2 linked regions of the Arabidopsis thaliana genome follow. The protein of the gene in region 1 interacts with the protein of each later gene in a pairwise test. Each region holds a gene or a part of one and is shown on either strand. Other genes may lie near its edges.

Region 1 (3,760 bases):
GTTACATTCAAAAATACGTTATAAACAAACTGAACTTAGGATCCCGTCCTTCGAATTTCTTTTGGTCCATTAGCTACTGTTATTAGTTGAAGAACTTTAGAAAATCTCCTCATATTCTTAATGACTTGAGTCATCAATCTTCTCTCCATGATGTGATGTGACAATGCTTGAGAAAATTGCGGAAAGAAAACAATGAAACATATTTTTCACTCTGATTGTCACACACAAAATCAATATACAAACAACATTACAAGCCATTAAAGAGAACAGAGAAATTTGATTACACTTTACAGTTACGAAGTCTTGAAACTTTGATTCGCAAATTCAAGATTAGAAACATCCACAAGTTGCCTTTGGAACAATTCCAGTGGCTCTGTATTTAGCAGCCGTTTCTTCTGCTTTAAGAACGTCTTCTCCACGCTTAGCTTCAATCATTGCTCTTCTCTCTTCTGCTTCCTTGTGAATCGCTGCAACCTTATTCTTCATCCTCTCTGCATACTCTGCTTTCTTCTTCTCTAGTTGCTCCTGCATTGAGAAAAAACTCACAAATTAACACTTCACTTCTCAATCACATTAAAACCGTTTCACCTCTCTATTGCTAAGTTTATTATACCTCGATTTTCTTGAGTTGCGCTTCGACAGCTGCTTTCTTGCTGTTTTCCCAAGCATGAACATCTGCAATCTTCTTCTCAGCTCTGTTTCATGTCAATAGTCAGCAAAATCAGGCAAAGAACATAAAAAAGCCAAAACCTAAAACCAGTGACGATAAAATAAAATGTCTTACTTGTTCTCTGCTTTGCTCTTTTCGCTTTCTTCCCACGCTCTGACGAAAGACAATCTCTTTTCCTTTGACAAATCAGCTAGCTTAACATCTACAAACCAAACAATGGAACTCAGAAACTTTAACAAACATTACATCCAGAAAGAAGTCACACAATTTTGTTTAAGCTCACCTCTATCGAGCGATGCAGACGCAGGTTTCGCCGGTGCAGGCTCTTCTACAGGTTCTGTAAAAAAATTCATTCCGTTAAAATTTCAAACATAACCAGCAAAATTGCCACAGAAGAGAGTCACAAGCAAACACATACAAAACATATGCATGGTTATGAACATAAAGCTACAATTTTTGGGTGCTTAATGACCATATACATTGAATTATACATCACAACAAAACTAAATTTACCAATCTCGAGACTTTAAATCGAAACGAATTCGAATTTAACTGTGCACTCTAATCGTATTTCAATGACAAATTCTATCTCTGGAGCAACCCAATCCTAATAACCAATAAAACCTAATTTTTAAAATACAGAACCAAGTTAACCCCAAAACCAATATTTCCTCGTCAAAGCAGAAGATTATCAGAGAACAGAATCCATAATTACATGCGTTAAGAGAAATTAACTTACTCTCAACAACAGTAAGGGCTTTGGAGTCATCGAAAATTTGCTCCGGAGGTGGGTTTTGAATTTTCTCCTCTGCAACGTCTTTCGTGACATCAGCCGGAGTCGGAGCTGGAGCTGGAGCCGGAATCTCTGCCGGAGCTGGAGCCGGTGTATCTGCTGGAGCAGGAGTCGTAACCTTCGCCGGAGATTCTGATTCTAACGCTATCTTCTGTTCCTCCGCCATAGTCGCCGCCTCTCAGCCGAAGAAATAGAGAGGAAAAAAGAAAACCAAATTAAAAACGAAATATGAAAAATTGAAGATATTATTTCCAAGCAACAGAAAGATGTTTATACGTATTAGCCGCGTTTTTTTGGGGTTAAAAATACCTTATTTTATTATCCGTTGATATATAAAGGCATCAGATCCTACGGTTATAAATCCATTTGTTGTGTATCCACGTGAACTGCGATGCAGCCGAACACAAAAATTCAGCTTGCCGACAGACAGGTAATGCGGTTAAACATATGCCACGTAAGCAAATGTCAATTTGTTTTCATTAGTAAATTGTTTTTCTGTTTAAATAATAATATGTCGGACGAAAGCGTGACGTGGAGGAAGACACGCTGGAGACAGATAAGATACTGAGTTGTTGTGACCCCACGCACTCTATTGGCGCGTGGATATTATCCATGTTTGTAGGAGCGCGTGTATAAGACGTGCCGTATAAGATGGGCCTAATTTATTGGGCTCGATTCATATTCTTTATTTAGAGGTTTTTAGGAAAGATCCAAAAGCTATCTGACAGGATTTGTTTTCCAAAAAGACTAAACTGATCCAAACTACTCCGAGATTCGCTCCGTAAATACACATTTGTTTTCTATCATTCTATATGATGCGGAAGCGTTAGTACAACTGTACAGATATCATAGTTTAAGTTCCATTACTAAACTAAGTCACTACTCACTAGACATCAAGCATAGAAGTTAGTAACTTTTAATGAAGCTCTTTTGATTTTACAAAAAAATTAGGGGAGATGTTAACACTTAACACAACACCTACCTATAACCAACACTGATATGATATCTTCCAAAATCCAAACCATGGACGTAAACCGATCTTAACCAACTGTTTCCATCTGAATAGGGATGAAGGTAAAATTGTTATGTCTAAGTGGGAAAAGCATGACTTCAGAAAAGGCCTAATCACATTCACAGCGTCAGTTATTAATATATCGCATACCTTATAAAACTTTGATTTGTGTGTTTAACTAGTGTTTGCTATCTTTAAAGAAGTCAATAAAAACAATTTAAAATGGCTTATATGGACAAAGATAAGAGTTAGTGACTGGAATGTGCCTAATTATCAAGTGCATCTTACATTATTGATCTTGTTGTACTTACTAAAACTAAAAGTGCAATTTGGCACGTCCACTCTCGTAGTTGGAGGTAGTTAGAAAATATTGACTTCTTAGACCGTGCCATGTTAATACCATTTAATGTTACTGGAAACAAATACTAATAAATAATACGTCACTTAAAACAAAATGTCTATACAAATACTATTAACATAAAACAAAATCTCTAGACCTGTATTACATCACATGCATCTCTTACTTATAAACAATAAACTTCTTTATTGTATGTTTTAGGGAATAAATATATGAGTTTGATGTCATATCATGTTTTTTTTTTTGTTATCTTCATACTTTTGTGTTGCGTTTCTGTTGATTCTCCTTTTATGTATCCTCTCGGCTCTCTCGTTAATCTTTTATTACATAAACTCGTGCATCAACATAAACACAAAACAGAAGCATGAAGATGAATAACAACGACGGCCAACATAATAAAACGGTGACATTTCCTCGAAAAAGCATCGTGAAGGCTACTGTTTTCATCGTCGTTCTATTCATTTCAGCTGCTATCTTAGACTTACTGGGCTATCTCGATTTCGTGGGTTTTAATATCACCTTACATTCTTGGTTTATCTTTAATATAAATCGCAGTAGTTAACGTTAATCATAATCATAATTTGTCTTATTGTTTTGTTTTATAGAATGCTTTTGCAGGTTTAAAGCTAACAACAAAGACAAAAGAACCAAATCCTTACGGATGCGACTTCGTACAGAACCAATCAAGTCAAACTCCTATCTCACAAAACCGCAAATCGAGATTAAACCCCAACAACAGTTCAAAATCATCCACGTGTCCTTCTTATTTCCGTTGGATCCATGAAGATCTACGGCCATGGAAACAAACGGGGATAACTAGAGGGATGATCGAAGAAGCGAGTAGAACGGCGCATTTTAGATTGGTGATCCGTAACGGGAAGGCGTACGTTAAGAGATATAAGAAGTCAATACAAACAAGAGATGAAT
Region 2 (3,760 bases), 4.9 Mb from region 1:
AGCTACTAATTGAGGCTCATCTCTGCCAGAGTCTATGTAATTCCGACTTATCAGAATCACAAACTGGCCAATTAGAAAAGAAAAGAAAAAAAAAGAAGTGAACAATCATCAGATGGAATTGACTCATCAATTCTTCCCACACAGAATGTTTCTGCACAATAGAGAAGCCAATCTATAATCATTACACAAACAAACAAAACTGTATGAAGAAGCTAAAGGTTGCATAACCAAATTCTAGTATTACATAATTTCTTAGTTATATATTAAAAAGAGTGAAGATTATTGAACTTACGAGAGACATCCGCTGCGAGGCTTCTGCTTCTTCTTCTTCTCCTTTTGTTTCACTGCTGGTTTAATTACTACTTTAATAGCAGCATCAAATACGGCTTTCACATTCTGCAAAAGCCATGAACCAAAGAAAAGCATATAGTTTGCAAGTAAAGAGTCACCTAACACTAATGACTCCTAAGTTTCCAAACACACATGAACAAGTGTACCTGTTGAGTTTTTGAGCTACATTCAATGTAATAAGTCGCTCCGATATGCTTGCGGAGTTCCTCTCCCTGTAACACATGAATGATTAAATCATATAAAACCTAGAGAAGAGAGAGTCTAGAGAATGTCACAACAATCTTTTCGGTTTCTACAGGTTGAAAAAGCACACCTGTGATGTAGTTACCGGGGACAGTCCAGGATGATCAGACAAGTAATGTCTATCTTCACGAAGATCTAGATAACGGAACATTGTAAGAAACATTACATATATGTGATTCTCAAGCATTACACAAGGAAATATGTTGGCTCCACTCTTATAGCTATCTTACCCATTTTGGTACCAACAAGCACAATGGGGACTCCTGGTGCAAAGTGTTGGAGTTCAGGGATCCACTGAACAAAATAAACGCTTCAAAAACATCAGAAATTCACATTTCATTCTTTGTTTTCCCAGTAAGAAATACAATGAATCCAATTTCCACAAACCTTTTTAAACACATTCTCATAGCTAGCTCGGCTGATCAATGAGAAAGCCAACACAAAAACATCTGCTCCTCTGTAACTTAAAGGCCTTAGTCTGTTATAGTCTTCTTGCCCTGCAAACATGAAAGGGTACTCATAATCATAAAACTCTTAACAGTCACTAATCTTCAACACTCCCTATAAAGTTCTCTATCTAAGAATCCCAAATCAAAAGCAAACTTGCTAGATGTTAGAAAGATTAGAACCACATAACATTAGTGAACTTGGTTATTCTGAGATATTCAAGAGAGGGATACAGAAATGTTACTTACCGGCAGTGTCCCAAAGGCCTAAGTTCACAGTGATGCCTTCAACCACAACATTAACACTAAAGTTGTCAAAAACTGTTGGTATGTAGTCCTGATACAATCCATCAAGCAAATCTTTAACTTCACGAGAACAACAAATGCGCAATAGAGTAAGAGGAAACACTGGTGAATCAAGAAAGCCACTAACTTTACAATGTAAGATTTTTCAGAATCTCCAAAAAAGGATTATTTTTGCACAATCCCTAAAAAAGGAGCTAACTTTGAAATACCATGCTAAAATTCTCGGTGAAAGAGTTGAAATTTGACAGACCCAGAAGTATATTCAACTAAAAGTGACGAAATTGGAGATGCCCGAAAGAACAATTTGATGAAAAATCAGCGAAACTGTGATTTACTTGATCAAATTTTAAACTTACAGTAGGGAATTTGTTGCTAGTGTAGCAGATGAGCATACAAGTTTTTCCAACGGCACCATCTCCAACAGTCACACATTTGATGAATTTTGAAGCACTCGAAGCCATTCTAACTCACCAAAAGCAAACAACTTTCAACGAAGAAACGCCCAAAAACCAGAGAGATTGTGAGAGAGATAATAGAGAGATAAATGAAGTGATTAACATGAGGAAGTGTGGTAATAAACTATATAAACCCCATATGATTAAAAAAACTAAACTCTCTTTTTTTTCACTTTTCTTTCAATATTTTCAAAGTTTCAATTTTGTATTTTTGTCTCTTTCGTTTTTTGGTTTGAAGACTGAAGAGAGGGAAAGAAGAGGGGCTCACATGATATATCCATCTAATCCACATGACTTTTCTAAATCGTTTCATATTTATCGCTTTTACAAATGTATTAGATTTTAACCCGTGGTATACCGCGAGACGATTAATTTTTTAAAGGTAATATATATTAAAACTTGCAAATTTTATTTTTATAAAATATTTATATTTTACGGTTTATAATTGTTATTAAGTAACGCTATGCCACGAATCTATAAGACAATTGTTAAAAAACTGAAGTTTTAACCCTTATTAAAACAGCATATTAATAATATTTTATAATTTTATAAATATTGATTCAAATACATCCACCATATAACCGAATTCCAAAATAAAACTCGTTCTGTAATTTCTTTACCCGTCCCGTGAGTTTTTTTTTAAGTCGTAATTTTTAAAATTTAAGAATTATTTATTATATATAAAAGTTTTGCAAATTGTATCATTCTCTAATACATTTATATTTTATAGTTTAATTTTATATATAGTAACATTATACATATCACATAACATTTTTGGTTTTATATAATATTTTCTAAATTAGGATAATTTGATATGTTTAATATTAGTGGTCTTAAAAAATAATAAATTAAAGATTTTACCCGTATTGAAACGGTGGATTAATTATATTTTACTTTTTTATTAATGTTGATTCAAAAACCCGTCCTTCTAAATCCGTCTTGCCAAAAAGCCATTTATTTTATTCATATTAATTTTATTTATGATATGACTCTGAATTCTAAACATTTTAGCTAATAACATAGGAGTGCACCATATTTATTTAATAGGGGAATGTACCATATGACCCGAATGCACTTTTATCCAAATCCACCAAAAAAATCTTGCAAAAATACTATAGAGATAAGAAACGATAGTCGGTTTTAATAGGTATAAGATTAGCAAATATATTAGTTAGCTTAAATTAGTTAAAGAATACAAATTAAAAAGGTATATTACACTTTATTCGAATATAATATCAAAACTTATATAACACAGAGATTTGATAAATTTTTAATTGTTGAATACTTTTTTTTTGTACAAATTTTTATGTGATTAAGATTTATTGATTTCGTATATAAAATATTAAATTGTTTTACGAACTTATTTGTTTATAATTTGGTAACAGAAAGATATTTGAATATTCGGTATATTTTGCTTTAGTTTAGAAAATCTTTGATGACCCGTCTTTAGATTCAACAAGCCCTATAATTAAGAAATGAATATTGTCGTTAAATGATTTTGGTAACCTTAATGATGTCATTAAAAGATTTTGTTTTTGATTAAATTTTTCTAATGGTATTGTCATGTAATTAATTACAAAAATTAAGGTTACATTTAAAATGTATTTCCCAAATAATATAGTAGGATTAAAAGGATACTAAAAGCTAATCACATGCTTAAGAAGCATTGATTATAGTACGTTATTTCTTTTTCTTTATCGGTTGATCCTTCTTATTTTGTTTAGCATTAAAAACTGTTATATTTTGCCATCATTTTTTTTGTAAGATTCTGGCATTACTCATTACCAATTAATTGTATAGATTATTTCAATAAAACAAATTTTACCTGGTTCTAGCTAGGAGAAATGAACATAACTTGGTTAAACACATATGTAGTTATAGAAGAGAGAAAGATATATATATATATAGGAATTAGGATTAACTCTGAATTGGGGACTTTTAAGTTTTGGAAAATAGCAA

What was found. Proteins that work in one complex are often made in the same cells at the same time.
Region 2: the proteins of AT3G61260 (region 1) and ROP10 interact in a protein complementation assay, tested with the Arabidopsis thaliana proteins (one large-scale study listed by BioGRID).

The regions. Positions count from the first base shown.
Region 1 is NC_003074.8:22,675,073-22,678,832, forward strand, and holds the start of AT3G61260 (Remorin family protein), read right to left. Parts: upstream 1,780-3,760; 5' UTR 1,630-1,779; coding exon 1,410-1,629; intron 1,008-1,409; coding exon 954-1,007; intron 873-953; coding exon 785-872; intron 696-784; coding exon 614-695; intron 526-613; coding exon 331-525; 3' UTR 1-330. Other genes in the region: AT3G61270 (O-glucosyltransferase rumi-like protein (DUF821)), read left to right, coding at 3,198-3,335, 3,439-3,760.
Region 2 is NC_003074.8:17,729,608-17,733,367, reverse strand, and holds the start of ROP10 (RHO-related protein from plants 10), read right to left. Parts: upstream 2,032-3,760; 5' UTR 1,808-2,031; coding exon 1,703-1,807; intron 1,378-1,702; coding exon 1,290-1,377; intron 1,092-1,289; coding exon 982-1,091; intron 889-981; coding exon 825-888; intron 730-824; coding exon 665-729; intron 564-664; coding exon 498-563; coding exon of another isoform or gene 456-497; exon of another isoform or gene 397-455; coding exon 293-396; intron 152-292; coding exon 127-151; 3' UTR 1-126. UniProt on the Arabidopsis thaliana protein: Acts as a negative regulator of abscisic acid (ABA) responses.